5 linked regions of the Bombyx mori genome follow. The protein of the gene in region 3 purifies or fractionates together with the protein of the main gene of each other region. This does not show direct contact. Links are inferred from orthologs where the notes say so. Each region holds a gene or a part of one and is shown on either strand. Other genes may lie near its edges.

The links.
Region 1: the proteins of DNA-directed RNA polymerase III subunit RPC8 (region 3) and DNA-directed RNA polymerase III subunit RPC2 purify together in Homo sapiens (affinity purification with mass spectrometry; 8 studies listed by BioGRID and IntAct, with this or other methods). This does not show direct contact. The link is inferred for Bombyx mori from reciprocal best matches to the Homo sapiens genes POLR3H and POLR3B.
Region 2: the proteins of DNA-directed RNA polymerase III subunit RPC8 (region 3) and DNA-directed RNA polymerase III subunit RPC7-like purify together in Homo sapiens (co-immunoprecipitation; 4 studies listed by BioGRID and IntAct, counting the BioPlex papers as one, with this or other methods). This does not show direct contact. The link is inferred for Bombyx mori from reciprocal best matches to the Homo sapiens genes POLR3H and POLR3GL.
Region 4: the proteins of DNA-directed RNA polymerase III subunit RPC8 (region 3) and calcitonin gene-related peptide-receptor component protein purify together in Homo sapiens (affinity purification with mass spectrometry; 4 studies listed by BioGRID and IntAct, with this or other methods). This does not show direct contact. The link is inferred for Bombyx mori from reciprocal best matches to the Homo sapiens genes POLR3H and CRCP.
Region 5: the proteins of DNA-directed RNA polymerase III subunit RPC8 (region 3) and DNA-directed RNA polymerase III subunit RPC4 purify together in Homo sapiens (affinity purification with mass spectrometry; 6 studies listed by BioGRID and IntAct, counting the BioPlex papers as one, with this or other methods). This does not show direct contact. The link is inferred for Bombyx mori from reciprocal best matches to the Homo sapiens genes POLR3H and POLR3D.

Annotation. Positions count from the first base shown.
Region 1 is NC_085116.1:7,719,137-7,725,913, reverse strand, and holds the start of DNA-directed RNA polymerase III subunit RPC2, read right to left. Parts: upstream 4,372-6,777; 5' UTR 4,145-4,371; coding exon 4,070-4,144; intron 3,692-4,069; coding exon 3,360-3,691; intron 2,776-3,359; coding exon 2,663-2,775; intron 1,731-2,662; coding exon 1,555-1,730; intron 1,122-1,554; coding exon 934-1,121; intron 410-933; coding exon 25-409; intron 1-24. UniProt on the Homo sapiens protein: Catalytic core component of RNA polymerase III (Pol III), a DNA-dependent RNA polymerase which synthesizes small non-coding RNAs using the four ribonucleoside triphosphates as substrates.
Region 2 is NC_085117.1:13,527,757-13,533,196, forward strand, and holds DNA-directed RNA polymerase III subunit RPC7-like, read left to right. Parts: upstream 1-2,369; 5' UTR 2,370-2,523; exon of another isoform or gene 2,524-2,645; 5' UTR 2,646-2,650; coding exon 2,651-3,304; 3' UTR 3,305-3,391; downstream 3,392-5,440. Other genes in the region: uncharacterized protein LOC105842656, read left to right, coding at 140-279, 1,433-1,532; sperm-associated antigen 6, read right to left, coding at 1,585-1,656, 1,742-1,802, 1,881-2,026, 3,650-3,808, 4,116-4,268, 4,992-5,144. UniProt on the Homo sapiens protein: DNA-dependent RNA polymerase catalyzes the transcription of DNA into RNA using the four ribonucleoside triphosphates as substrates. Specific peripheric component of RNA polymerase III which synthesizes small RNAs, such as 5S rRNA and tRNAs.
Region 3 is NC_085117.1:13,230,993-13,237,643, forward strand, and holds DNA-directed RNA polymerase III subunit RPC8, read right to left. Parts: upstream 3,879-6,651; 5' UTR 3,455-3,878; coding exon 3,344-3,454; intron 3,233-3,343; coding exon 3,049-3,232; intron 2,957-3,048; coding exon 2,816-2,956; intron 2,010-2,815; coding exon 1,810-2,009; 3' UTR 1,795-1,809; downstream 1-1,794.
Region 4 is NC_085116.1:2,999,427-3,005,611, forward strand, and holds part of calcitonin gene-related peptide-receptor component protein, read right to left. Parts: exon of another isoform or gene 6,020-6,185; coding exon of another isoform or gene 4,832-6,019; exon of another isoform or gene 4,771-4,831; intron 3,353-4,770; 5' UTR 3,146-3,352; intron 3,047-3,145; 5' UTR 2,928-3,046; coding exon 2,920-2,927; intron 2,301-2,919; coding exon 2,180-2,300; intron 1,508-2,179; coding exon 1,355-1,507; intron 1-1,354. Other genes in the region: glutamine synthetase 1, mitochondrial, read left to right, coding at 4,832-6,019. UniProt on the Homo sapiens protein: DNA-dependent RNA polymerase catalyzes the transcription of DNA into RNA using the four ribonucleoside triphosphates as substrates.
Region 5 is NC_085113.1:12,561,741-12,568,408, reverse strand, and holds the start of DNA-directed RNA polymerase III subunit RPC4, read right to left. Parts: upstream 3,682-6,668; 5' UTR 3,569-3,681; coding exon 3,408-3,568; intron 2,409-3,407; coding exon 2,275-2,408; intron 1,453-2,274; coding exon 1,340-1,452; intron 971-1,339; coding exon 838-970; intron 109-837; coding exon 19-108; intron 1-18. Other genes in the region: uncharacterized protein LOC101743779, read left to right, coding at 4,218-4,299, 4,788-5,021, 5,554-5,700, 6,285-6,343. UniProt on the Homo sapiens protein: DNA-dependent RNA polymerase catalyzes the transcription of DNA into RNA using the four ribonucleoside triphosphates as substrates.

The sequences.
Region 1 (6,777 bases), on a different chromosome or scaffold from region 3:
AAGAAATCGATAAACTGTACTAACACTAGAGATGGCTGTAAACAGTCCATTAGCAATCAAATCCGGTCTCATATGCTTCACAACATCAAAGGGGGCAGCTTTAACTTTAGGTATTATTTTATCGGCTATACTCTTCAATTCCCAGTTGAATCTTTTGAATAAATCTTCAAACATAAGTGCCAATAAAGACCCCGCCAATTCAAGCCTTTTGTTCCCATAGTAATCTGGATCGTCTATTGCAGTTTTATTTGTTTCGGCTTCAATTACCCTTTTCACCATTATCGCAAGGTAAATGGCCTTTACGTAGAAATTGTAATTCTCAACCGATACGTGAGCTAATATAGTCGTAGCTAATAGTTCACGAGCGTCATCAATTGGTGAGCGTACTTTTGTGTTTCCACCTTGATACCTTTACATTTAAAACAAAAATAGATTTTAATAGGTACTGTATGGAAAATGTGGAAGCATTTAAATATATGTAATGGCAATGGTTAAGGTTTAAATGTACGTTTATTTTTTAACTATAAGCATATTAGATCTATCAAACGGTATTTTTATATGAATGCTCGCAAGGGATGGAAGACTGTAAGTACACTTTCACTGCTGAATTGGATTTATTTCAACTTCTCCCGCGTTCTATATAGATATCTTTTTCCAGGCCCAATTTGTCATATACTGGACTACTTTCCTTGGACATATTTTCTCTATCTCCTCAGCACAAAGAGCGTACTTTATCACAATTTAGCATAGATTTTTAACGAAATTAAATTATGAACGCGTTCAATATATTATTAGTCGCGAACATTTAAAACAATTAGTAACTATTAAGTAATTTGATTACAAAAAAAGCTTACAGAAACAGCGGGGTAGTAAAATATTTTTATTTATATATGCACTAAACAGTGATAAATTAGATGTAAAATGAAACCTTACCTTTTTACTTTTAGTTTACTTCCTATATAAGTCAGAGCTTGATTTTGAGTAAATATTTTCAAATTATGGCAATCTAGAATACAAGGTGCCATTTTTTTTATTGTATTATCGTCAGTACCTACAAGCTGCATTATTTCTTGATCACTACATATGCCCATGGCTTTAAAGGCGACAGCTATTGGAATATCCTGAATATAAAAAAATACAAATTAGTGGAAACTACATAATTGGAAATTATTTATTTTAGCTTTTGAAATAGCTTTTGTAATTTTGAAGGGAAGAAGTCCAATTCAAAACATATTATGGTTTTATTTTTATTTTTTATTGCTTAGATGTGTGGACGAGCTCACAGCCCACCTGGTGTTAAGTGGTTACTGGAGCCCATAGACATCTACAAGGTAAATGCTCCACACACCTTGAGATATAGTTCTAAGATCTCAGTATAGTCACAACGGCTGCCCAACCCTTCAAACCGAAACGCATTACTGCTTCACGGCAGAAATAGGCAGGGTGGTGGTACCTACCCGTGCGGACTCACAAGAGGTCCTACCACCAGTAAAAAATACATATATAGCTTTGATTATTGTTTGTTAAATGAAATTGATTTAAGTAGTAACATACATCAGACAATGCATTATGTCTGAGCACATATTTTCCATGTTTAAGAATCACATTCGTTCTAGTTTTCTTCTCATGTGTGGAACTTGTAACCTGACATTGTACTGCTCCTTTGAATTCATCAACAATCATTCGATTTCTAGAGAGTTGCTCTTGAATTAAAATCACCTTTTCTTGACCTACAGACAATAAAAATTGTTTTTCATTACTCAAGTAAACTACATATATATGTACTTATACAGGTGTCCTGAAACTCAAGGTCAAGCGGGTACGGGGCTAGGTACTACTCGTGCAGGGAAAAATAAAAACAAAAATACATTTCATTTTAAAAACCATACATCCATTGAACTTCTATTAAAGGGGCTGCATAAATGAAAAAGCGTACATGAAGCCAATATAAAACTAACTGAATTCACTCCATGTAACTGTATGCAATAGTGATCGAATAATAAAATATTGTCACTCTTGAAATCAAAACCAATAGTGTTCGGATCCCAAAACTGTTTTCTTTTTTTTTTAGAAATTTAGATAAATTTTAGCATATTTTTTGGCTATGCTACTCAATCAGATCATCTCTTTGAACGTTCAAACGCAGTTATTTTTACAGTATCGTTAAAATGATAATTTGAATTTGATTGTCTTTAACTTTGTTTTAGAGCACTGTTAATAAATGTGTTTCATTAAAACCATATTATTTTGTCTAGAAACCTAGCTCATAACTGTATATTCACAGAGAACTCAGTATTTCATTCATTTAGACCACAAAAAAAAACCCAAATGTAGTGTGAAATGCAACCTTAATGTGGTCAATGTTAGGTTATTATGCTTTAAGTCTTGCCAAATTTTTTATTCTATGTATTTTTAACTTAAAGTTTTTCTTTATATTTATTTATTATATTTCTTTATATTATATTTATTTAAATTTTCGTTTATTTTTATTCTGACTAAATATAAGGCTCCCAATGTACTTTACTCCAGATTAACAAATTAATAAAATTTAACTTTATGATTACAATTATTACACATTTAAATATTTTATGTACATTTTACATTTATATACATTGGAGTTTTTTTTTAATATTAGTTGTATAAAATTAAATTGGTTTCTTACCTCTTATAATAAAATAGCCTCCAGGATCATGGGGACACTCATTTAACTGTGCAAGCTCAAAATCCGATTTATTAGTAAGAACGCAGTTTGAAGACCTAAGCATGAGGGGCATTCTGTAAAGAATCAAAATACAGATTTCAAAATGATATATGAGAGTGATGTTAATAATAGGTATATAATTTAATTACATTTCAAATGGCCAGTATTGTTAAACTTCATAAGCAAAGACCTAATGTTAAAGTAATTAAAGGAATCATTAACATGTTAAAAATTTGTGATACTATTACTTTGATATTGACACAAAAACTGTTTTTACTTTGACTACTTTATTAATACTTTGACAGACATGTGTCGTGAAGATAGGTAAAAGGCAGATGATGAACTACTTAAATTCCTACATCATCAATAGTTGCAGCCCATAAGTCAATCAATTTTTAACTGAGTTACATTGGGTGGGGTGGACAAACAATAAAACATAATTTCTCTGTCGAGCTTTTCATTGAATTGTTTTTAAGATAGGATATTTTCAATTGGGAGTACAGAATGTTAAATTCATTTGATATGTATAATACAGAATTTTTTAAAGCCTGGAATGTTCTGCTTTTTAGTGAGTAAGATCAAGATATAGTAATAGATCAAGCAACATTACATCTGCTAGTATTAGAATATGCATTTCTTCATTTATTTAAGATGTTACCTTCCAATCAGTTGTTTATTTTTGATCACCCTCTGGTTTCCTCTAATATATTCTATATCAACAGTTATAGGAGCTGAGTATGTTATATCTCTAAGACGACATTCATGAGGTGTCGTTGGCTTAGTGATATTGAACCCTTCTTCCAAGTCAGGTGTACCAACATAGGCATTTAAATATTTAATATAGAACAGTGGATCAGATTCACAAAATACTTTTTCATTAGCCTGTACTATCTTCTTTATCTCCACATTTATGAAGTAATTAAATGAATCTATGTGCTGTTTCACCAAACCTTTAACTTGAAGAAATGAAGGCACTAATTTCCATTTATCCTGAAAGAAAACATTCATATGAACAGTGTTAAGCTGAAATATTAGAAATTTAAGATAAAATCAGGACGTCAGTAAATTGTACTATTTTTTTCTAAGATTTTTATGATGTTATTCTATAAAATTCATACATTTTATTATTCAAATAATTATGATCATACTTTGGTAGGGTTTTGAACTCAACTGTATATTGTCACTTACAACTTTTGTTACTATACAATTGAACTTTGGAGTGATTAAATATCAATGAATGAACAAAATCTTAAAGACAGTTATATGATTTTGTTGTTTGGTTAGTAGTAATATTATAGTTCGTGTATTTTTTTTTCAATTGTGTATCAAAACAATAGTAGTAATTCAGAAAAGTAATAAAGCTAGTACCTCAAGGGTTTTGACAGGGTCCCGTAATCCTTTGGTATCCCACTCATTTTGTTTTTTATTAAGTTCGCCCATCATGTAAATTAAATAAGCTATTGTAATATTGAACTATCTTCGGCAGTAAATCATATTGTCCGTATTTACCAAGCGATGGAATCTTGGAATTGTTTTATAGAATGGAACAAATCAGATGAGTACATATGTAAACAATAAGTGCAATTTTTAACAACGAACAAACACGAGCACAATTCTGCACATTTAATTACAAACTTTAAACTCATAGATATTTTTTTGGTACAATTTTTCCTTTAAGAAAGGCAAGGGGATCTAAGCCCATACAGCGTGCCCATAAATAATTTTTAAATCCATCTATACTTTTTTTAAGGGATTTTATGACCTGGTAACTAAAACCAAGTCAAGGTCAAGTCTTATTTTAATTTTAATGAAAAGTTTTTTTAGGTAAATGAAAAATAATATTATGAAATGAAATAAAGTCGATTAATATAAAACATGGCATGAAATGAAATGAAATTAAAACGAAATAAAATGAGATGAGGTGATATGGGATGAAATATAATCTCAGTAAAACGGTGGTCATTTACTGAGACTTTTTCAGTGGATTTTCGAGGATCCCGAGAAGTTACGTTCAGCAGCTTTGTTTCATTTTCCCACATTTATGCACTTTCACAGATAATAGACAGTTAATAAACCACCGATTACCTATTTAAAGCGCCTTATTCACGATCCATCTTGCTGTACGTCCCGCCAAGGCCATGCACGATGCACGATGCAAAAGGATCATGAATAGGCTTGACGTACGTCGATAATTATTATTAATTGCGGCCTTGAGCTGACGTACAGTCGTGATGGATCGTGAATAAGGCGCTTAAACCTGAAGAAACTCTAAATAAACAAAAAAAAAAGGGTGCGTGTACTTATGTACGCGCGTAAGAAGTTAAACTTTATTTTTATTAAAGAACATCCTCAAACACGCATATTGGACATCCCTTTTCTTGACATCGTATAAATTCGGTAATTCTCGGTACGGTTCGGACAATACACGACGACCTGGGCCTTGAATCAATCCAGAAATACATGAAGTCAGCGTCGGAACGGTACTTCGATAAGGATATGCGTCATGATAATCGCCTTATCGTTGCCGCCGCTGACTACTCACCGAATCCTGATCATGCAGGAGCCAGTCACCGTCGACGCCCTAGACACGTCCTTACGGATCCATCAGATCCAATAACCTTTGCATTAGATGCCTTCAGCTCTAATACTAGGAGCAGGCTTAGGGACCCCAGTAACCGTACTCGTCGAACTCGACAAAGAGGTCGACGTGCAACCTAGCCCATGCATCAGCCCGCTGAGCTTCTCACCGGATCTTCTCAGCGGGTCGCGATTCCGATCCGGTAGTAGATTCATTCGCGAAGCAATTGCTCTTGAGTTGTTAGGTCTCCTTCGGAGGCGCTCGGGCAGCTGTTAGCAAATCCCACCCCTCCTGGCTGAGCCTTTGCTCGCCCACCTGTCCTGGTGAAACTGGAAAGGCCTTCGGGCCACCAGTAATCTCTCAATCATAAAAAAAAAAAAAAAAACGGTTCGGACATAACTCTCAAACACAGCCCACTCTCGCCGGATCTTCTCAGTGGGTCGCGTTTCCGATCCGGTGGTAGATTCCGCGAAGCACGGCTCTTGCTAGGGTTCGTGTTATCATCGTTGTCAGGTTTGAGCCCCGTGAGCTCACCTACTAGCCACGGTTACGCTGGAATAGCCGCTCCAGGCTACCAGATTAGGCAGGAAAAAAAAAAACGGTTCGGATCACTTCGACAAAGCGGCACGACACGAGAACCCTCTCATCGTGGCCGCCGGTAACTACATTCCCGATCCTGCGGAAAGAATGGAAAGCAGTCGACGTCGCCCAAAACACGTCATTTTGGATCCTTCCGATCCACTAACGGTGCTTTTAGGTACTTCAAGCACCGGTCACCGTTCTCGTCGAACCCGTCGCTTGCGACGAAGGGCTCGACGAGCAAATTAACCCTCAGACACAGCCCACTGAGTTTCTCGCCGGATCTTCTCAGTGGGTCGCGTTTCCGATCCGGTGGTAGATTCCGCGAAGCACGGCTCTTGCTAGGGTTCGTGTTATCATCGTTGTCAGGTTTGAGCCCCGTGAGCTCACCTACTAGCCACGGTTACGCTGGAATAGCCGCTCCAGGCTACCAGATTAGGCAGGAAAAAAAAAAAACGGTTCGGATCACTTCGACAAAGCGGCACGACACGAGAACCCTCTCATCGTGGCCGCCGGTAACTACATTCCCGATCCTGCGGAAAGAATGGAAAGCAGTCGACGTCGCCCAAAACACGTAATTTGGATCCTTCCGATCCACTAACGGTGCTTTTAGGTACTTCAAGCACCGGTCACCGTTCTCGTCGAACCCGTCGCTTGCGACGAAGGGCTCGACGAGCAAATTAACCCTCAGACACAGCCCACTGAGTTTCTCGCCGGATCTTCTCAGTGGATCGCGTTTCCGATCCGGTGGTAGATTCTGCGAAGCACGGCTCTTGCAAGGGTTCGTGTTAGCAACGTCGTCAGGTTTGAGCCCCGTGAGCTCACCTACTAGTTAAGGTTACGCTGGAATAGCCTCTCAAGGCAACCAGCTTAGGTAGGAAAAAAAAAAAGAAAAAAAAAAACATTTCCGAAAGTTCAC
Region 2 (5,440 bases), about 300 kb from region 3:
TACCTGCCTCTTATAGGTCTGCAATAGTGCTATTTAAAATGCTTACAAGTATGTAGCCAGTTTAAATTCCTCCCTGGCGATTGTGTGTAATGGCCAATAGCTTCCACAATAATTCGTTTTCTCTTTTTGTAAATCACAGGGTTTAAATGCAAATGAATTAGAATTACTAAAGACGAATTTAATACGACATGACATAAAATTCCTTCAAAACCAGAATTTTCACGAGATCGAAGCGTTGGGTGTACGCATGTTAAATCTGTTGGCTGAAAATGACTTTAAGTGAGTATATATAAACTATAAGGAACACATCTTGAAGTAACTTCGTCAAAGGTAGCTTAAAAAAGTTTATTATCTTATCTTATACCATCTCCTTGAGACTAAAAAGTCTGATGGTATAAGATAACAAGGATGCGATGCAGTGTGAAATATCTAGTTCCAATTTAAGAGCTTAAGAATTCTTTTTTTTTCTTCAAGTTTGTAGGTCTAAATAAAATATTTATATTTACTAAATTCACGCTCGTAATTATAACTATCTTTACCTATATATAATTCTACTGTACGTGTGTATGTCACTGAACTCCGCCTGGACCGATTTGAATGAATTTCTATTCGTTTGGGTGGCGCCCTGGATGGTTTAGATTCACAAATCAACCCCGCAGATGGCGCTGCAGTCGGTATCTAGGTTATTTCTCTTTCCTAAAAACCCAAAAATTTAATGGCAAAACAACCTTTGCTGGGTCAACTAATATTTCATATATGTGTACCTATTATATATTTATAGTTAAAAAAATAGAACACTGATAGCCATGCAGATCTATTATTCTTACCAAAGTAAAATAGGGGTAGTGACGCAAGAAACGTTTGGAGAGAAAGTAATCCCTACTGTCGAAACGGGTTCCGATTTTTAAAGATAATGCTATAATTTATAATTATAATATAAATTCTCGTCATCGCGAGATACATGAATCTGCTCGTCTATATATTGGCGCGTCTAACGTAGCCGACTGAAGAAACATTTAGATACCTACGCTTCTATTTTAGACACTATCCATAACTTTACAAAATAAGTTAAAAATATTGGAAAACAGCGTTCTCTGAGTGTTAAACAACCGTATTGCGATTGGTAATTGATATAAATTGGTTTATATTGACGTAATGTACAATCGCATTCTGAGTGTTTCTATCGCGTAGCTGTCCTGCATTCTAGTTTGAAGTGTGGACCAGCAGTACCAAAATGGGCCCTTAGACCTTTTGTCACCGACCGGGTGGTGATATTCACGTTGTGATGTCTTTGGGCTCAGGTAACTACTTAACGCTAAATTGACTGTAAGCACACACTCGTAGCGAATTGGATAATACCCTCTAAATCGGGCAAGATTTTTACCGCAGATAAATCGGTCTGTGTACAAATTTAACCATAATCCTATTGCAGTTACAGAGTATTGACTCAATCAATGGTAATAGAAGAATCTAAGATTGGTGGAAGAAATGTACAACTACAAAAAATTGTTTGGACTATGTACAAAGAATGAAAATTGAAACAGTATTAATAAATTGTATTTAACAACATATAAGAAAAATAAACTAATTTCTTTTCTCTATACTCATTTCGCTTTGGCAATCACTCGGCACCCGATCAGTAAAAAGTTCTGGTATCTATTCAACAAAAGAAAGTTACATGTTAATACATGAAAACTACAAGTGTCTATCGAAAATATATACATAAGAGTTTATTCCATACTTGTGGTGTATACGCTTCAACTCTATCCAGCAAAGAATCTGTGTAGCCGGGAGTATAATATCTGAAAATGAAAAATGTATAAAAGCCCACAGTTGAGATTTGAGTAGGACAAATTTTCTTTTAGTAGGTAGTCTTTTACCTTACTATTTCTTCAGGGAAGCAACTGTTTATGATATTAATATACTCCTTCAGGGACGTTCCGGGCACTGTTTCAATTTCTTGTATTCTTTTCAATGCTCCTGTTGTAACAAAAAGCCTTCTAGCTCTTGCATCGTTGGGTAGAATCTGAAAAAATAAAACGAACATAAATAATCTACTTCCTTATACTTTCATTATAATTTGTATAATAATTTCTGAACTGAACAGTTTTTCAGAAATTATGAAACTCCATGAAATTTAAATGGTACTTGCAAAAGACCCTAATAAGAAAAACATACACATTTCTTGGATTTAGCCTGCAAGAGAATGATTCGCACGTATATTTTGTTCTAATAAATGATGAACCTCATTACGAATTACTACGGTAATTGGTTCACGTTCTTCAAATGATGAAGGCAATATACATAGGCTTATTTCATGTCATCTCTAGTTTATTCTTATTTCACGCCATAGTCAATTTCAAATTATCAATAATTCTCATACTGCTGCATTTTACGTTTTGAAAAATAAATAAAGCCACGATTTTTTTTAACGTTGGCTGTATGAGCTACGTCTCTATTACCTGATTTATGAAAGAATTAAACGAAAAAACATCCGATTCAAAACAATAACAAATGAGTAGGGTACGTAGATACCATAGATTATACACTTAATATATTTGAGATAGGTAGATACCATCTGGAGTTTCAAATTTAAATAGATTAACTATCACCAAATTGTTTTCTGATCAAAAAATCGATTACAGTTACAATGGCAGGTAGAGGACGAGGACGCGGGGGTAGCGGTTTATCATTAACTACTGAGCAAATACAAGCCTTAGGTGTGACACGCGGCGACAATGCTCCTCCAACACTTGTGCCGCCACCACTGTTTCCAAAACTTGAGAAAAAACCACTACCTCTTATATGTGATGCCGCCACTGACTATATGCTCATTGTCAAAGATCAGTTCATTGAATATCTACACGAATCACCGGCATTTGTTAAAGTCAAAACAGAGACTGACGGTGTAGAGCGATATTCTGATAAGTACAAAATGTTAGCACTTGATGCGAAGCAGAATAAGTTATTGGATTGCGTGTGGGTTAACATGCCTACCGAATTACGGCCTCAAGCAAAACGTCCGCGTACTGTTCCGAGGAAAAGAAAACTCGATGATCCCGAAGAGATAGCAAAGAGATTACAAACGCTTGAAAAAAAAGAGACTCTGGAAACAGATGAGGCGATAGACGGCAAAAAAAAAGAATTAAACAACGAAAACGTAGATGAAGAAGAGGAGCTGGAAGATGAACATGAGCAAGAATACGAACTAGATGATGGTACTGACTATGCAAATAACTATTTTGATAACGGGGAAGATTATGAAGAAGAAGATGATAATTTGGATGATGGACCTGTTTACTAGGAAATATATATATACAAATTTATATTACACAGTTGAAACTGATTGATCTTGCATATTAAAAATAATTACAATTAACTGTTAATCAAATAGTTTTCACTTTTAATTTTTACTTTCAAATATTCTTTATTAGCAATTTGAAAAACAGTCCCGCCTGGTAGAACTCTTTAAAAAATAGAAATAAATGAATATTTCAGCGAAAGAAGTTTACTACTTAAGTAACTGCTACATCATATTTAAACGAATCAATCGTTAATCAATCGAAAAATCAATCATTACTGATTACTGGAGCACTGTTTCATTTGAAATAGTGTATTATTGTTATATTTGCCTAACTAGAATAATTACCTTTGCATACTGAGCTAGTACATATTTCAATATACAAGCAGGTGCAGAATGTAACAATGTCTCTAATGCAGGTCTATGTAGACAGCATTGTAATGCCTGTTTCAATGCACATGATGTCCGAGCTTGTACTTCTCCTGAAGACTTTGGGTTTGTGTAAAGCTGTAAAATTAAACTAACGATGTTTAATTTAAATATAATTTAAATATACTTTAAATATTGACATCTATCTACGTATATAAATGAAAAGATTATAAATGTGCTATTTGCACATGTATCAGACAAGTATTAAAGACTGATGACAATAATATAGTAATTTTATTACTTTGGCTTAATATTGTGATCAGAATTAGTACATCGAATAAAAAAAAAACGTTATGTCAATTTTAATTCTGCTTGCTGTTAATTTTTAAACCACAAATACTTTTACATCTAAACTAATCTAAAGTAAGAATGAGGTCAACCTAACTTGTAACAGTCTAGGTAGAGCATTGGCCACAGCAACAGCCAGACTGTGTTGTGGTGAGTGTTTTGCGATGTGGCCTAATGTCCAAGTAGCTGCACACAACTCTGCATCTTCTGCATCTTTCTTTTGTAGAATTTCAACAAGTGGTGTAATGGCCTAAAATTGATAGATACATTTTTTTTATTTATAAAACCAGAAAAGGCAACACAACAGGTCACAATTTGTGATGATTGATAACTTAAATAGTGTAGTGAAAAAACTTAATAAGATTATTTATTTCATATTTTTTTTTAAATTCAATGTTTCATAAATTGACTAATAGTCTCAGTATTACCAGTTTTCACTCATAAATATATATAATAAGTTATGTTTATGGCATCGACATAGGTATAAGCCGTGACGGATTTAGGCTTGATGGCGCCCTAGGCCCTGTTTATCGCGCCGCCCTCAATGTTTGAATAAATTTTATTAATTTTGATTCAATATTTTCATTTTAAATTTAAATTATCTTTATTTCCTTAAAATATAATTTTTGAATATCATCATCATCATCAGCCTTTATCTGCCCACTGCTAGACATAGGCCTTCTCCAATGCCTTCCACAGCATGCGGTTCTCCGCCTTCCGCATCCAATGACTTCCCGCTGTGCGCACTAAGTCGTCGGTCCACCTGGTTGGAGGACGCCCCACGCTCCTGGTACCCATCCGTGGCCTCCATTCGAGGACTTTCCTCCCCCACCTGGCGTCGTTGGTTCAACAGACGTGACCGGTGACCGGAGACGTGAAATTAAGTTTAAAAGGTATAATATATATAAAAGGTATAATATAAATATTAATATTTTATTGAGTTGTGTCAAACACAAATGTAAACTTTATTCACCTTCGATTCTATAACTGCCATTGCGAGCTGATCTGATTGCCCTGCAATAAATCCTAGTGCCATACAAGCTGGGACTCTTGATCCACCCGTACTCTCTTTTAATAGTTCGACCAAAGGACCACATCCACCAGTGTTCACTACTAGCTGAGCCAACTAAATAAATTGCAAATATTTCATAGTTAGGTATTAGTAAGATTATGGATTATTTCTTTCTGTTTTGATTTTATAACAAATAACTGACTAATCGAACGTAATGCTATGTTTTTTTTACCCAATTATTTAACAAATAACAAGTTTAGTAAATAGGAATTAAAGTAAAATAGTTTGCTTTCGAATCTCTTCTTTCCGTGAATAACATTTGTGATCACTTCATACGCGCTGATCATGTTGCTCTTAAACATTATTTCGTTCACAACAGTATCATGCGCTGCTCGGAACCTACCTTAGAA
Region 3 (6,651 bases):
GCCATGTGGTTAACGACTGGGCGTCGCTTGTTCAACGAATTTTCCAGTTATAGTCAGTTTAACTATTGGTGTCGTTCTCGTGTGAATTTTTTGTGGCCAGCATTGACAATGCGCAGTCATCGTAAGGCAAGTCGCATACTTAGGCATACTTAGGCATAGCAGCGAGTTGTCGCCGAATGGTCCACCCGCCATTAGGCCCGCGGAGTGAGTACCGGGTGGCTCTAATGAGCTGTGACTTTAACATCTGTGAAATCTTTGTAGAACTATTAAAAGTCAAGTCAGAAAAAAAGGTAGAATTGCGTGTAGAATTTAACAAATTTGAAATTAAAAAGCGCAGGCCAATCCGTCATCTTAAACGTGACGAAATCCAATTTACAATGCTAATTATTATTATCCTTTCGTAGAAAGACTTTTACCAACTGTCCGTCAAAGTTCTCAGCTAAATAATGCCACCGTAGCAGTATTGGATGCGCTCAATAATGACTTATATAGTACTATTATTATTTATTACTAATCACTAGAAACTTAAGACCAGTGCTGGTGACAAACACTTAGTTTTACCAGTACATTTTATCTACACAAGCATATTCTGACAAATATAGCAAATTTTCATACAATTCCACTAATATTCAAAAAAATCCCATGTACAGGCAAAACTGCACAAGCTTAACTTACATAATGCTTAAGTGTATACAGTACCTATACCCTGTATAGCTAGCAGAAAAGGATCAAACCGGTTTTTTTTGTAACACATTGTTATTTATTTTGCAAGGTGATTTTAATATTGTAGAAAGTGATAGTGTAAAAGTAATTTTAACTATTCTAGATTTTATTTTATTCCTTTTTGAACTGAGTGATCTCATCAAAAAGTATCATTAGTTGGTTACATATGCCTGACCCATAACTTTTTGTAATTTGGTGCATTAAAGGATTTAGACCCAGGTCAAAACACTGTGATTTTAGGTTTTTTTTCGACAAGGTTACTATGGCATAGTATCTACTTATAACGCCGAATTCTTAAGTTAAGATTGGCATTTACTTATTATTTTAAAATTATAATAAAATAATGGAATATAATCACTATGTATTATTATATAATCATGTTAAATAAATATTGTTGCAAATTATATTTTACTTTTTAATTTACTTTAACGTTTTAATGAGGTTATAATTCTTGAATTAATAGCGAATCTTAAGCAGACAATAATCAACGTCCTCCTTGAATAAAGTGGAAGTCTACATACAGTTATTATCAACTGACTCTTATGATTAGTTCCAGATGGCTCATTCCAATCTTTAGGGGTTACCAGAACCTATAGACGTCACTTGAATTTGAACCCATCTTTAGTATATTACACGCAAAATTATAATTTGCGTAATTACTGGTGGCAGGGCCTTTGTGAGTCCGCACGTGTAGGTACCACCACCCAGCCTATTTCTTCCGTAAAGCAGTAATGTATTTCGGTTTGAAGGGAGGGGCAGCTGTTGTAACTATACTGGGGACTTAGAACTTATATTTCAAGGTGGGTGGCACATTTACGTTGTAGATGTCTATGGGCTCCAGTAACCACTTAATACTAGGGCTATGAGTGTGTCCACCCATCGAAACTAAAAAAATAATTTAATCAGCAACTAAACCCTCTTAGTTTCCCTGTATATTCTCAGTAGCTCACAATTTCAATCTCCTGATAGATGGACTTGCCATGTGCCTTTTATGATTAGCTTCCTTTGGAGACATTCAGAGAAGTTTAACAAACCGTTTCCCCAAACATAGTACAAATAAAAAAATAACAATAGAAGCTGAATATTTTATTCATCATCTATTTCATCCTCTTCACCCTCTTGATCTGGTGTCTCCCACCAGGTTAAAAGTCCAAGTCCTGGTTCATTTATTCCTCCAATCAGTCTATAAGGTGCTACCGTTTGTACTGTACAATCTGTTCCTGGAGGACCTGTTGGTAAGCTCTCTTCAAAAAACTCACTTGTCACTCGAAATCTTATTGATTCACCTGTAATTTGTTTTATTATTAAAAGTACAGATTTTCAATGTTAACAGTAAAAAGAATCTTTGTAGTGATGATAAGGCATAATATTTGTGTAGTTATTATAATTTACATCTAGATTGTGTCAATCCACCAATGTAGTTTTTTAGGTGCTTTTATTATTGGCATTGTCTTCTAAACAAATACCCATTTTATTAAGTTTTGTTAGTCAACAGTGCTAACCTGTGTTTTGGCATATTTTATTTTGCTTAAATGAGTGGACAATCACATGGCCCACCTGGCATTAAGTAGTTACTGAAGCACATAGACATCTAAAATTTAAATGCAGCCACCCACCCTGGGACATAAGTTCTATGGTCTCCGTTTTTACAGTGCAACACATGCTCCATCCTTAAAACCAAACACTACTGGTTGACACAGAAATAGGCAGCTGGTGGTGGAGTCCACCCATGTGGACTCATAAGATGTCCTACTACCTAATTATACAAATTATAATTTTGCAAGTTTGGTTTTTATCACCCAATATTATTCCATCATTGTGGACGTCATTCGTGAACATTTGTTAAGTACGTATTTCATTAGAAGCATTGGCACCTGCCTGCGGGAATCTTTATTATAGAAAACCCATCTGTGGCATTTCTAAACAATACAAAGGTAGCAATGCTAATGCTGGGACCAGACTACGACACCAACACATTGTGTTTCACTCAGCAAGTGTACTTTAATAGATATTAACATATATTTAAAATTTTAACTTATTTATTAAAAATTATTAAATGTATATTAATTAATTGGAGTTTGATAATACACACCCGAGTCCATGAACAAATCATGTTTTTCTCCATCTTCCTTAGGATATTCCCATACCCATGCTTGATCGGTTTCGTCAAATCTAGACGGATGCTGAAGAGCATTTACTGGTATTAATATATCATCGAAAAAGCCTAATGTCACTGAAAATTTTAAATAGTAATTATAATCATGATTTATTTACATTTGGGTCTCATTATTGAGTATACATGTAATTTTATGACTGATAAATTACCGTGCACGCCTTCTCTACTGCAGCTCCTTATTTTTCCTATAAGTATCTCTTCAATAATAGGTCGAAACACGATATATCTAAATTTCACCTCTGTGTGAGATGAACCGTCTCCAGGGAATATGTACGAGTGTCCAACATTGGTTATGTCAAACAGTACAATACATAAACCTACTTCTAACACAACCTGAAAATACATATTTAATAACATATATATTATACAATATACAACTAATAATAAATACAATTAGATAAACTAATTCGGTTAAATTAATTTGGATAGTTATGATTTATGAACCTTATTAGCTAACTTTCTGTTGAGTAAAGTTGTTATAGAATCAGTTAGACTTTGACGAAAGTATTCTGGATTAACTCGAATAACATCTTTCATTTCAGCTAATACAAACATTGGTTTATTTGATAAATATGTTACTATTAAATTCTATTTAAAACTTCGGTTTTTGAAGATTTTATGGTCTGCTCTGTTTACTATTTTGCTTTTTTTTTTAAGAATTGAAGGCATGGGTACGAGTTTTTTAAGTCCACCTTCCAATGTTTCATTCCATATCGACGCTTGAAAGGCAAACGTGACTAAGCGACAATAACTGCTTTGTACATAAATGATAGGCAATAACCATATTCGAGGCGCAAAAACTATATATTTCTAGGTCTATTAAAATCATTTCAATCCTACAGCTACTAGCTAGATTCTACTACAGCTAGATTCGTTAAAATAGATTTTTTTCAGGTATTCCAACTTTAACTTTAGTCTACTGTAAAGTTCACGCATTGTCATTGCATTGTCACCTAGTCACGTTTGCCTTTCAAGCGTCGATACTAATCGGCTGTGAAATATCAAAACCCAGTATCTGCATAAAACTAAATTTTACAGGAGAGCCGAAAAACAATTTCATATCTTTGACAGCGTGCCGTTTCAATAATATTAGTCGTACCTTCTTGAGAGTGATTGCAAAATTTGAGGTGCATAACAGGCTTTATAAAAAAGTAGATTTCATGCGTCTATCACAAAAGATGTGCGTAGAGGAGCAGTTACTAATAAAAAGATTGTTTTCTTAGATCAAACTTTTTGAGTGTGACAATTTCAAAACCTAGTAAGATCACTTGCTTTGTTTTCATCTAATTCTAAAATATAATGAGTGGGGATAAACGCAAATTAATAGACTTAGTAAGATCACTTGCTTTGTTTTCATTTAGGTCTGAATTTACTGAGTAGGAACTAAATGCAATTTTTTAAACATAGTAAGAAAAAACAGAATAAAACAACATAAATATGGGCAGAAATAAGCAGTTTTAATGAAAAAGAAAAAAAAAACACATAATCGGAAACCAAACACTATTTGTTCACAGTAAAAAATCAAAAAATAATCACTCAAAATATTTGAAAACAGTCAAATAAAAATAAATTATTCGGTTATTAATATTTGTCCACTAGAAACTAAATTAACTGGATTATTATTAATCGGTACACTTTGCCAAGACTTCTTCTCCAAAACTTCTTTAAGCTAAATAAAGTTGTTACTATGCCTTCCTTATTACTTTCGTTAATGCCTCTTGGAATATTTTTTAAGGTTGGCATGATCAAGAGATTGTGTTTTTAATAAGAGAATTCAACTCGGAATACGGAGATTAAAAATCATTCAAAACATATTACGGCACCCATTTACAAATATTATTTCAACCAAAGAACTAAGCAAAAAATTATTAATGGGAACAAGGTCATCATTGCGTCGCGGTATGCGTTTCTTTTTTACCCACTCATACGATTTTTCGAATTCGATAACTTCAATATGCGATTTGCAACCCAAAATTACATTCTTATAGTCTTCAAAATCGTACACAGCATCTTTTGTTTTTAATCTGCCTCTCCATATTGCCATGAACTCCATCAGCGACATGCTTGTGTGATCTTTAGTTAGGTAGGTATTACAAAGTCCAACTTTTTAAATTGAAAAACCCAGAGATTATTATAGTAACAAGTGATGTAAAGAGGATCCAATTTTTATTTTGAGCTCTGCAATTATCACACCACAATATCAAATGATTAAAATCTCTTTCTTTTTCGATCATTGCTGCAATTGCATTAACAATGTCATGAGCATCTCGTCCAGAACAGGCTTCATGCCATAGAATACAAATATTATTAACATTCGTTTTCTTTCTGATTGGTGCAAATGTCAAGTTGAAAGTTATCATTCTACTCAAGAAAAACGATTCTTTGACTTTAGGCATGTCGGGTAACAACATAACTTTTTGTAAATCCATCGAATAGTATCTCACAGAGGAAGTATTTTCTAGGGAGGCATCTTCTTGATACTTTTGTATTGCTTTACTTGCTCTAGCTTTGTGATCCCCGTATGCAGTTTTAACATCCTCTGGAATATTTGCACCTTCATTTACTTTATGTGTCGTAGTAGGTTGCAATTTTGGAAAACAAAAAACCTTGACAATAATAAAACACACTGAAGCGTACTTACATTTCACCATGTTGTTCTTTTAAAGCATTCAAGATCAATTTCGACCTATAAAACTGATTTTTACTCATTTTATAGACAAAAACACGAACAACGTGCAACGATTTTCTCACTTACTAAAGTTTCGCGGGAGTTTTGACGTTTATTTCAACCATTTCATTGCCTTAGTATCTGCATGAACCATTTTAAATCCAAGTAACTACAAGCACTTATTAGGTTTTTAAAATGGTTGATGTTATATACTATGTTCTAATCTTGTAATTTTTGCATTTTGAAAACCTTTACTGTAGATACTAGGTTTCCGACTTTGTGTAACTTCGTTTTTTACAAATTTTTGGGGGTTTTTGCTATCCTAATATGTGGAGAATGGTCTACAAGGTCGAAAAATGCAAAAACACACTTTTTTTTAAATTTGTCAGATACTAGGTTTTGAAATTGGACAGCCGTAATACACTTAATAATAAAATTTGAGGCTGATTCTGTAGAGAAAGCATAGAGTTAGTACCTATCAAATAATAAGTATAATCTATGGTTAGTACCTATTAACTCCATGAGAGAAAGAAGACCCTTTGGCGGGACCACGAGGAGTGCAATTGTGTGATTTGTTTTATTTTGTTTATTTAGTGTTTCGTTAAATGTGTAATGACGGTGGTTTATTAACTGTTTAATATCTGTGAAAATGCACAAATGTGGGAAAATGAATTAAAGCCGCTGGACGTAACTTCTCAGAATCCTCCAAAAAGTCGACTGAAAAAATCTCAGTAAATTATGTACCACCATTTTACTGAGATGAAATTCATCCCATATCATCTCATCTCATTTCGTTTCATTCCATTTCACTCCATATTAACATTTTTCATAAAAATAAGAATATAAATTAAAATAAGACATTTCTTAAAGGTCTTAGTTACCAAGTCGTAAAATTCATTAAAAAAAACTAAAATATTGTTTTTATTTGAAATATTTGACGTAAAGGTCTATGTTACCAGGTCATAAAATAAAATAAAATTTACGTATTGTTTTTATCATGCAATTGAAAAATTAATTTAGCATTAAGTACCGGTAAAATAGGGCGATTAGGGATTGAGAGGCGAATCGGGAAAAAACCGGGAAA
Region 4 (6,185 bases), on a different chromosome or scaffold from region 3:
AACGCCATCTATTGTCAGATACCGGAAGCACAATACTAGAGATGTGTGGAATATTCTCGATAATTCTAGAGATGTGGTATCGGCTATAAAAGCGTTGTAGGAACTACTCGAAGCGAAACAGCGAACGGATCACCTGAAGCGAAGCGGAAGAAGCGAATTGAGAGTTTTAAAGTGTTTGTTGAGTGTTTTAAGTGTTGAATACAGTTTTAAGTTGTACTTTGCTGGAATTTTATTTATCTCGAACCCCAGCGCGTAACAGTTACAACGGCTGCCCCACCCTTCAAGACAAATACCAGTAGCATTCCACTGTTCAAATATCATTAAATTTGGAATAATTTTATTAGTTTAATTCAGTCCTCATATTTTATTCATGTAATTTTTGAGGTTCGTTTGCTATTTCAGCATCTTCAGTTACTCTTAATGTGTGATAACAGCATTTAACAAGATAGACGGTTGCATTTGATGTCCACAGGTGACTACTACCATTGTAGCGTTTGTGCGAAGCATTCTGCAATGTGATCTAATGGGTAGTACAAATCGATTTAAAGTCCTCACATGAAATTAAAGGGAGACAGTCTCGGAACACTTGAGGATTCCAATGTGGAATTTTATGGAAGTCTTTGGTCATGAAACAAATAAGCGCATGCACAGCACTTAAAATGTTCTCACTCATTGTAAAGTAAAGATGTTTGTTGTGTCCTACAGGAGTTACTGATAAAGTTGCTACTGTACTGAAAACTAGATTGTAGCTGAAAGAGTGATCTATTGTCAAATTGTGGCAATATCGAGCAATGACAATTGGCACTGTAGTAGAAACCATCTATCAGTTTGAGGATGAGTTAGTATCATGCAATATGTAATGTGCAGTTTTCTCATATTATTACTACTTCACAATTCTACTATCAATAGTAGATCTTATTTATCTTCAATTAAGGGCATGGAAATGAATTGCAATGGCGTTTCAACCATTGGAATATTTTATGTCATTCTCTGGTCCTCTACTCCTCATCCAAACACTGATCACATTATTCCTGCTATATAATTTAAAGATAGGGGACACTCACAAAGTATGTGATGCCCCATAGTAATAGCACCCACAAATTCATCCTAATTCCTTTCAGCACTCTTAGTAGCACTTTATTCACTATAGTATAAGTTTCCGTGCTCGAGTAACTCTTTAACAACAAGTGAATTGTGAGCCTGTCCTTGATTTTTCACATTATCAATAGAAGAATAAAAAAAAAACTTTTAGAAGTATGTTCATCATTAGAAGTTCCCAAAGTTCCATGTTGTCTGTGAAACAGTAATGTCTTTAAAAATGTAGATAGAAGAAGAAAACAAACAATGTACATACCAATTGTATTTCCAATTCAGTCCTGGGCGGAGTGTTTACCATCATTAATTTCTCAACTTTAGTGAGCTTGTATTTTTTCATAGCTTCTAGGAACTTCTGAATTTTTTGGGCACTCTGATTTTTGCATTCTGTGTCTTGTAAGTAATGTACAGTCTGGAAAAAGAAAGAAAAATAATCTAAATGTTTGACGAATATGATTGTAAATGTGCAATTAATATTCCATTGTATGAGTGTAGAGCACACAGCATGCAACATCATGGTTTTAGACTGCGAATAAAATTTAACGTTTATTACCACTTGACCAATGCAAAATACAGGGAATCTTTAAAGCTCTCTCATGATATATCTAAAGAAATCAATCCTATGTAAGTACAAACATATTGTAAGTACAATTTACTTGTCTATGGGTTAAAAAAAAGTACAATTTACTTAATGTAAATACAAATTATAACATTTTATTTTTAGGTATGTTTTTTATTACACAATGCTCTTCCTTCATCCTGGAATTTACGAATGTGAAAGTGACTTGAGTATGAATTTCTTTGGATAAATTGCAACTTGCCCGTGGGGTTTGATTTGCATAGTTGTATCGTTCAATTTTAATAATAGTACATCAGGGGCACTATATCCTTTAGACCAGAATGACATATTTTTTTTATTGCCCTTGCAGGCAGACGAGCATACGGCCCACCTGATGGTGAGTGGTTACCGTCGCCCATGGACTTCAGCAATGCCAGGGGCAGAGCCAAGCCGCTGCCTACCGTTTTTTACATTGAATTAGCTTGTTATATAAGCAAGAATATAATAATTATTGGATAACCTCACCTCATATGTAACAGTGGCAAGTGAAGCTTCTCTCTTATGCTTTTTATGTGTGTTATCTTTTAACTTTTGGAGAATTTGCATAACTTCATAATTACACAGAAATGCGGAATTGGCTTTTATACTGTAATGTAACATGAAGTATGTTAATAACAAAAGGTTAATAATAAAAAGTTCGAGACTTTTTTTTTATTGCTTAGATGGGTGGACGAGCTCACAGCCCACCGCCTGGTGTTGAGTGGTTACTGGAGCCCATACACATCCACAACGTAAATGCGCCACCCACCTTGAGATATAAGTTCTAAGGTCTTAAGTATAGTTACAACGGCTGCCCCACCCTTCAAACCGAAACGCATTACTGCTTCACGGTAGAAATAGGCAGGGTGGTGGTACCCACCCGAAGACCTGAGACTTGTACAAAGTGTCTATCTCAAAATATGGCAGCTATTAATCCACATGGTATTCTTAGTTCTATAAGCCACTTTAGCCTTAAATGAAAATCTAAACAATATTGTCTACTTTTATATAATGCTTAATTAAATCAGTTTCAGTGATAGCAAATATTGATCAGAATATGAAGAAAGAAGTTTCCACTTCTATCTTATTCAGTGTTAAATAATCATATAAAACAAAACTAGGTATTCTTGTGTCTGAGATTATGAGAAGAATTAAAAAAAAACTGCTTAAACGAAATACCAACTTTAAAGTTTTACTAAAGAAAAAATTATCTAAAAAAGTCTTACGTTTCCATGTTCAAATTCAACACATATCACTTGGTGTTTGACTTCTCTAATGTATCACTGGCTTTTGGCTTGATTTTGAAATATATCCACGAAGGCCCTATTATTGAAAATATTCCACATTTAACTTATTAAGACTAATATTGCTAAAGATTGGATACACTCTTTCGTAATACTCTCTTGGCGAAAATTAGCGTATATTATATTTATACATGCTAAAACCTTAAATTACTTTACACTTGTTTAATAGGGTTAGATTTGTACTTTTTAGATATTGTTTATATTGCTTAATTAAGTCTTACGTCTTCGATTTTAATAATATGTTATTATATTATTAATTATTACTGTACTGGGTAAAAATAGTATTTTTGAGCCATTGTTGTTAAAAATTAGGGTTGTTTCAAATTCGGTATAAATAAACTCTTCAGTCTTTATCAATACATACACCATAGAGTAAGATTATATATAACCTAACATACACTTACAAATGAACTCCACACACATGTTTTTGACAGCTAGTATTAAGCCGTAGACATTATGTCAAACATACTTTTTTTATTGCCCTTGTAGGGAGACGAGCATACGTCCCACTTGATGGTGAGTGATTACTGACACCCATGGACTTCAGCAATGCCAGGAGCAGAGGCAAGCTGCTGCCTAACGCTTACTCTTCACAAGGCTGGTTTGAAGAAGGATATTTCATAGCGGTCCGGAAATACCGTGGAGGGGAGCTCATTCCATAGCCGGATGGTACATGGCAAAAAAGACCCCTGGAAACGCACAAATAGTATGGATGAACTCTACTCCGGTGGCGATCGGTACGATGGTAAAAACGAGATGATGTTATCATCTTGAACATTTCTTCAGAGCACTCCCTATGGAACATACGGTACAGAATACAGAGGTAACCGAAGTCCCTCCGCAGACCCAGAGGTTCCAAACGATCCGTGAGAATGAGATTATCGACAATCCGGACAGCTCTCTTCTGTATGGAGTCAAATGGAAGTAGCTGGTATTTGGGAGCCCCGACGCAGAGGTGGGAGCAGTAGTCCGCGCGAGGCCGGACCTGTGTTTGTAAAAAACAAGTATTTGTCCAGGCGTGAAGTACCGCTTCGCTCTGTTGAGACTCCCAACATTTTTGACGCAAACCTGGCTTTCCGAAATTACTCCAAAATTGGACATTGCTCGAAATATCGACCCCAAGTATCCCAATACCTAGCTTAAACAACTAGACAAAGAGACCTCAGCTCATATCGCTTAAGCTTTTGTAAATTTAGGCCAAAACCTTGTTCTTGACGCGAAACTGCTTCTCAAGCGGAATTATAATGTAGTGTCAGCTAGGGTTAGGTTAAGGAGTCTTTTTGGAGAAAATTATCAGACTCTAACCTACGTCTTGGGCGCAATATACACCTTAGAGCCGAACCGACTAAAACAACCTGTCGTTCAACAAACCGAGTTCTAGACTCGAATGTGACAGAAATTTATCAAGGCAGGCGCGGAAGAAACTCTTAGAGTTGAATTGTTTTCTATTTATCACGTTAGCAAATAGGATGACAATCCAACGGTCGTCACCGTCACGACGACGAAGCCTCTCAGCGCCAGCTCGAGTTGGTATAAAAAGGCCTATTATCGTCTTTCTGGATTCCCCACTAACTCATAACGATCAACGGGCTTACAAAATGCTAAGAGCGTCAAAGACACCGCCAGATATAGATAAGATGGAAAATACGGTACGCATTCGGATATTACCAGTACCAGCCTACAGAGACAAATCCAGCCAGAGAAATCGTTTGAAAATAGGTTCTTACAAATATATAAATAATTTTAAAAGACTTCCGCGTCCATCGAGTTTTTAAATCTATAAGGTAATTTAAAAACCGTTTTTAGTTAAAAGTTAATTCAAAAATTTTAAACAATGTACTGCTTTAAAACATGTGCTAAAGTTTTTAGAAGTATTTTCCTATCAAAGAATTTAGTGTATAAAAATATGAAACATGTTTATTATTTAAGTACTAGCAGTATCTTTGGGCATCCAGGATCGCATGATGCGTACTACAATTACTTTTTAAATTTACCGTTTCCGAAAAATAAAATTTTTGCCACCTATGTATGGATTGATGCTAGTGGGATAAATTTACGGTCTAAAGACCGAATATTGGATAAGGAGCCTTGTGATTTAGAAATGGTGCCGAAATGGTCGTATGACGGGAGTTCAACTGGACAGTCAGATCTGAAGGATTCAGATATTACACTACTTCCCGTTGCAGTGTACAGAGATCCTTTTCGTAAGAGTCCGCATATAATAGTTTTGTGTGAAACATATTCTAGTGAAGGTTTACCGACCCCCACAAACCACAGAGTATCATCAGCTATAACCTTGAGTAAAATTTGTGACCAAGAACCATGGTTTGGTATAGAACAAGAATACACAATGTTCGATCGTGATCATTGGCCTTTGGGATGGCCAAAGCCACGAGGGTATCCAGACCAAGATTCTAAGAATTCTTACTGTGGTGTAGGTGAACATGTAGCCGGGAGAGAAATTGCTGAGTGTCATGCCAGAGCTTGTATCTATTCTGGCATGGATTACGACGGATCCAATGCAGAAGTAATGAATGGATCGTGGGAATTTCAAGTAGGACCTACATTAGGAATAAAGGCAGCTGACGATATCTGGATAGGTCGGTATCTTCTAAATCGAATAGCAGAGCATTTCGACGTTATAATTAGCTTTCATCCTAAGCCAATGGGAGATGGACATGCTGGCATAGGATGTCATCATAATTTTAGTACAAAGAAAATGCGTGCCGATCAAGGTGTCACAGAAATAAAAAGGATTTGCAAAATTTTATGCGATCAACATGAAAAAATCATTAAAAGCTATGATTTAAAAGATGGTGAAGATAACAAGAAGAGGTTGGTAGGAAAATTTGAAACATCATCATATGATTCGTGTCGTGTAGGCATTTCTGATAGAAGTGCGTCGATACGAATTCAGAAAAAAGTTATATCAGAAGGCAAAGGATACTTTGAAGATCGAAGACCTGCAGGCAACTGTGATCCGTACATGGTTTGTGGCGTAATTGCTAAAACATGTATTTGAACTTAATTTATTGGAAGAAACAACTAAAAAGAGCACTGAATATTTCGTGTTTGATGGTCTATTAGATATAATTTGATTAATAAAAAATTTATTTTTAGAAAAAATGTAAAAATTTAAAATATATACATATAAAATATTATAAAATGAAACCTAATAAAAATGAGAG
Region 5 (6,668 bases), on a different chromosome or scaffold from region 3:
AATATTGAGACTACTTACTAACACAGTCGCCATCTTCCCGGGGTTCTGTCTTGACAACAATCTCTTCTTTAACCTTGACTTTCGGTTTCGCATGAGTCTTGGCCCAGTCTGTCAAAGACATGTATTTATGTAAATATTGAAGATGCGGAAACATCATCCAAAGAGGGATGATGGGAGGAGATGGTCACGACCCTCAGACATGAGGAATGCGACTCAGGGAGGAGGAACCATTAATTTAAAGCAGCGGTCGGGGAACTTTTTTAATTACTACCCCAAAATATTTTTGTGTAAGTTGATATTACCCCATGGCGAAGAACAAAAAAAAACGAAATCGCTTCCTTTTAGCATCTTTCATATTATAGACCCCATGATAATTTGAAATCACAACGATTCTAAAGAAGTTTCACTTCAATATATATATATATAATTTTTACTCACAAAAGTTTCATTTTTACCCCACAAAATTTCATATTACCCCATTTCGGGTAATTTACCTCGATTCCCCGACCGCTGATTTAAAGGGACCGTAGCTGGATAGATCCTAAATCCTATAAAAATACCATTCCAATGTTCAGGAATTTGTTAATCTGTGAAGTCGTTATGGACGGTATAGATCAGAGTGCGGATACCGGTACCAATCTCGAGAATTGAAATGAAAGCCTCAATGTACAGTGTAACCCCTGTGCTTCACGACCGAGGTAGGCAGGACGCTATCAGCTAACTCCAGTTCGTCACTTACAACCTCACCACAACCACGAGTGGAGATGATGAGCTTCTCTAAGCCGACGCTACATAGAAAATACTGGATGAACACAGGAAAGTTGATTAGAAACTCACTCCCATCATCCATGGGTAGTTTGATGGGTGCGTCCCTGTCGAGGATGTCCTTAAAGTCGATGGACTCCAGCTCGTCAGTATCGCCTCCTCTTAAAATCATATTTATCTTCTTCTCCTCCAGTTCTTTGTCGATCTAGAAAGATATAGATAGTGGATTTAGGTCACTTTTTTTTATTGCTTTAATGTGTGGAAGAGCACACAGCCCACCTGCTATTAAGTGGTTACTAGAGCCCATAGACATCTACAACGCAAATGCGCCACTCACCTTGAGATATAAGTTCTAAGGTCTCAATATAGTTACAATGGCTACCCCACCTTTCTAACGGAAATGCATTACTGCTTCACGGCAGGAATAGGCGGGGTGGTGGTACCTACCCGTGCGTACTCACAAGAGGTCCTACCACCAGTAATTACGCAAATTACAATTTTGCGGTTTTTATTTTTATTACACGATTTTAATTACAACAAAATTAACCGATGAATGTAATTTAAATGTAAATACCTTCACGAAATCCTTTACTCTGATAGCTGGCTTCTTCATAATGTTTGTAGTTTTTTCTGTGTCCCGCCCGTAGTACGAGCGACTTGAAGAATGCCTCTCTGATGAACCGATGCCTGTAATCAATTACTTTGAGTTTTTAATTATTGACTGGCTTAATTTTCAGTATTCATTTAATTTTTAGGAGTAATCAAACTGAATAAAGCTCAGCTATTTTTAAACGCTTACTCCTGTCTGAATTGTGAAGTTCTGAATGTAATGTTATCATTAAAAAAAATAGAGTCATTCATTGATTGAATTCAACATCATTACTTAATGATTGATTAATGATTTTGTATTAATTTAGTAGCTATGATTCACAGAACTCAGTTGTACGGGAGATTGGAAGAATGTTTCGTGGATTTATAAAAACAAATGATGAATCATTCAAACAATTTAAACTAACATATTGATACGGTTGTATGAAGCCATGGTCATTTCACTTTTAACAATAGCTTTTAATTATGGCATGAAAATGAATTCATTCATTGTGTAAGGTGAAATCTATAGGAACTAACGTCAATGTATCATCTCAATTGCAACAAAACAGTTTGGTTTTAAAAATGTATTCTGATAGATGTAATAGTGATTACCGCACAAACATCATTGGCAAAATAAACTGACTATATATATTATTATTTTTACATGTAATTCTACTTTCTTATCATCAATAACTCTATTAAACATAATAAATACTTTATTTCCAATGTTTGGAATACATTGGAGGTTTTGTGGTCATAACCTGATATTAAACTGTAAATTTTAATTATGCCTATGACTAGCAACAACAAAAATATTGTATATTATTGTTAATATAATATTGTAATAAATTATCAGTTATTTTGATGGGTAGCTAATGATTATAGAAGACAAATAAATTATTTATTTAAAATGTTAACCTTCAGAGAAGACACCAGCAGATTTTATTAGTGTTGGCCCATTTCTCTGATTCCTGTTAAAATTCCGGTTCCTGTTTGAATCCCTGCTGTTCTTCTCTTCATTCCTTGTTTCTTTGGCACTTGTTGTTGCTTGTCTATAATTATACTTGAATTAATTTCATTACACTAGATCAAAATATATTAATAACTCTAATTTTATACTAATGGTGGTAATGCACTATTTCCATCCCGGTTTGAAGGGTGGGGCAGCTGTTCCACAATATAATTGAGGCTTCAACCTCATATCTAAACGTTAATCATGGCATTCGTGGTGTGCTAAAGTGGTGGTAGTGGTCTAAAGACACTGGTATCCATTTACCTGGCTCTGTAATATATAAATAAAAACAATCAACCTTATATATTTACAGGGATGCTGACAGTTCAGAAGCGTGTCAGCCTCCTGTAGTAAAAGGATTAAAAGCCACATTTGTGATTTTTTATAACTTGCATACAAACAGGAACAGGAGCTAGGTGTCTTGGGCATGACGTGGGAGGAGCTAGAACAGACTGCTCAAGACCGATATAAATGGAAAATTTGATTCAAGCCCTACACCCCAGCAGAGGCTAATAGGAAATAATGATTATGATGATGATTGCATACAAACATAATGTTGCAGTATTTAAGATTATTACGATGATGCTAGATTTTTTTTAACTAGGGGATGACGTGAGCTTGGCATTTTAGGTTTTTAGAGGTATTATATTTCATTTGAAATCAATGTTTCTTATTTTTTAAGTCAAAGATTAAAAATTACAAACTTGACTACGGTTAGTTGTCAGCAGCCATGGTTTAGGGTTATTATTATTTTAGAATATAGAGCGGTTTCAGATTGCAAGTAAGTCATGTATGTGCACTGTGAACTTTTGTAGAACATTTTGTTATTGTGGCTGATAACTGAAATAACTAATCCACCCAAGGCATAATGGTTTCGCAGTTTCACATTCCGTCAACGGAGTACATTGCTCGGTCAGTGCCTCACGAAAGCGAAGTTCTTAACGAGTGCCCAATGTGTCCAGAATTGATGGCGATATTGTGGTGGTTGCAAAAAATAACCATCTCTGTAATGTATTCTTACATTCTGAATGTAACTCACCCTTTATTTTTACTCCGAGCTACGTTCAAGTTAGGTGTGAAGACTTTTTTGTTTGGTTTGACTCCTCCAAGCATAAGATCTCTGGGTGCTTTTAATGAAGCGAGCCTCTGCATGGGATCTGTACCCAGTCCATTCGGTTTAGATGATTTATCACCGGACATTGCAATTTCTTTTTCAAAGTAATATATTAGTTTGAAATTTAGAAACTCTTTTATTTGTCTAACCTATAAAAATGTTTTCAAACATACATCAGCTGCAGCTGACATACAAAAGGAACGCATGCTATACAGCCAAGACTTTTGGAAAATGGCTGGCGCAATGCTACTGTGTAAAATGTACATAATATTTCCAGTGATTTTGATTTGTACACATAGGTATTATATTATATTGTAAGAACGTAAGATGGGATTAGTTCGGGCTCAATTCTCAGGGTCCCTTTCTCAAATAAAATTCCACAAAAGAGCTCTACTAGCTTGACTAGGCTCCACTTTCCCTTGTACTCTGCTGTACAATATAGTTTAAAACGGGTGAATAATACTCTTAGCTTTTTACATTTTATTTATGATACGGTACTGTGATATATTTTACCATATTGTTTTTACATATTTTTATTAATATATTATTCGCCAAGGGCTGGTCATTCTATTAGTTTATAATCTATGACATATGTTCTTTGCCGTTGATTCGTCGTTGTTTTGAAAATGAGTGAACACTGAACTTTAGTAGCCGTTTGAAATTCGTTAAACAATAGCAAATAACGACGATATAGAAAAAATCAGTCTATCGAAATTAACCTTCGATTTAGCCACAATGTCTCTGTTTGATATTTTTGGAGATCACCTTACTAGACAGGCCGTGAAAAATGTTTCCCGGCAACCTCTGCATAATATAGGTAAATATAATTTATTTTAAAAAGTTTTACCACTCTTAAAAAATAATATATCTGAGCTAAATGAGACCACACATTATTCATTAGGAAACCGCAGCTTGAATGAATTGCATTATGTTTTAATTATATAACTTACTTTTTCTTTTAAGTCGGTTCACGTCGTAATGTATCTAGCAGCAGCTGTACACTTACAAACTATGTCCATCAGACTATATTTTCATTTTTCAATGCGAATGTTTTGCCTACAATGACATATTGTTACAATTAGAAATCATCATCAGCCCAAAGTCCTAGAACTGTCCAAACTGCTAGACGTAGGTCTCCCCCAATATACACCATTGAAGCCAGTCGTCGGCTATGCTCATCAATTTTCGTAACTGCGCAACCTTCGCAAATCATCACCTTAAACATTTCTGATGGAAAAAATGGCAAAAAATATGTTCATGAACAATTGTTATGTAGTAATTTTTCAATTAATAAGTGATTTTCAGAAAACATGGGCAAAGTAGTCTCAGCAGGCCCCACAAAACCAAATGAACCAACAAAAAAAGGGGAAACCAAGAAATCTTTTCTATCAAATACTGGGAAAGCAATTCAGAGCACACCATCACGTAAAGTGTTCACCCCTCGTGCTGTGAATGTGGGTTCTCTCATATATACTGATGAGGATGGTGATAAAGGATGTACATTTGAAGAAATTGAGTTCACCAAACCTAAGCACTATGGTATAATTTTGATTCTATAATTAGCATTATTTTGTTAATGAAAAATTTAGTAATAAGAACCATTAGCTTGTTGATTAAGCAAACTAACACTGCATGATACACAAGGCTGCTTATGAGAACATCAGCTAAAATAAAAATAAAAATTGTAAGTATTTTTCTTTAAATGGATGGATCAGCTTGCAGTCGTCTTGGTGTAAAGTGGTTACTGGAGCCCACAATCATCAATCTAATTGTCACCACCCACCTCAAGACGTCTTAGTTGTATAGTACTACTATGCCTGCATCACTATAGACTTACTGGTATTTGGGCATTTCATTAACCTGCAAGGGAGAAGGTACCAATACCCCTATTATTTCTGCCGTGAAACAGTAATGCGTTTCAGTTTAAAGAGTGGGGCAGCCACTATAATAACAGTGACCTTAGAACTCAAGGTGGGTGATGGCATTAAGTTGTTGTTGTTTATGGACTTTGGTAAGCGTATAATAAATAAATCAATAAAATCCTTTTGCTGTTAAAATTAATATTTTTCAGATAATTATCAAAGAGATTTATTTGACTTTATTCCACTGTCGGAACCTTGTCACCTGAAGCAGCTCTCCCCGCCAAGCACCCCTCCACCTATAATTAGGAGACACAGCATGGAGCTTGAATGCTCATATCAAGATGAGTTTTATACTGGTAATATTTACAAAACATTCACTATATAGGAATGATGATAGCTCATCTTCTTTTTCACGTTTCTTTAGATTTATTTTAGTAATAAATTGACTTAAAGCATGTGTTATTAGAAAATTTCCCATTTCGATAAATCGGCACGACACGAAAAACCCTCTCATCGTGGCCGCCGGTAACTACATTGCCGATCCTGCGGACCAAATGGTAAACAGTCGCCGTCGCCCAAAACACGCCATCTCGGATCCTCCCGATCCATTAACGGTGCTTTTAGGTACCCCAAGCACCGGGCATCGTTCTCGTCGAACCCGTCGCTTGCGACAAAGGGCTCGGCGAGTGAATTAACCCACAGCCACAGTCCACTGAGTTTCTCGTCGGATCTTCTCAGTGGGTCGCGTTTCCGATCCGGTGGTAGATTCTGCGAAGCACTGCTCTTGCTATGGTTCGTGTTAGCAACATCGTCAGGTTTGAGCCCCGTAAGCTCACCTAGTAGCCCGGCGACGCTGATATGATCTCTCTAGACCATCAGTTTGGTAGAAAAAAAAGAAAATTTCACAATTTTAGCTTAAATATCATTTTTTATGTTACAGATGATTTTTCAAATGAGAGTTTGCCCGAAGAAGATTTGGGATTACCTATACTATATTAATTATTAAGGAAGCCAATTGCATAACTGTAAAATAATTGTAGAACTAATTTATAAAACATAAAATGACATGAATTCCATTTCAAATTAATTTTATGGGTTTTTTCGGTAATGAGAAATACTGGCAAGTACAATATTTATAATTTTAGGTCTACTATTTTCCGACGGTGATCGAAAAAGATGCGTATGCTAGGATTAGCTAACTTTTAATAACGGGGATAGTATTGATAAAAATTAAACCTTCTGCTTAGTATTTTGTTCCGTTGTTATTCGAGTGTATTTTTTTACTAACAAAAAAATAATAAAACTTTGATATTTGGTAAAGAAC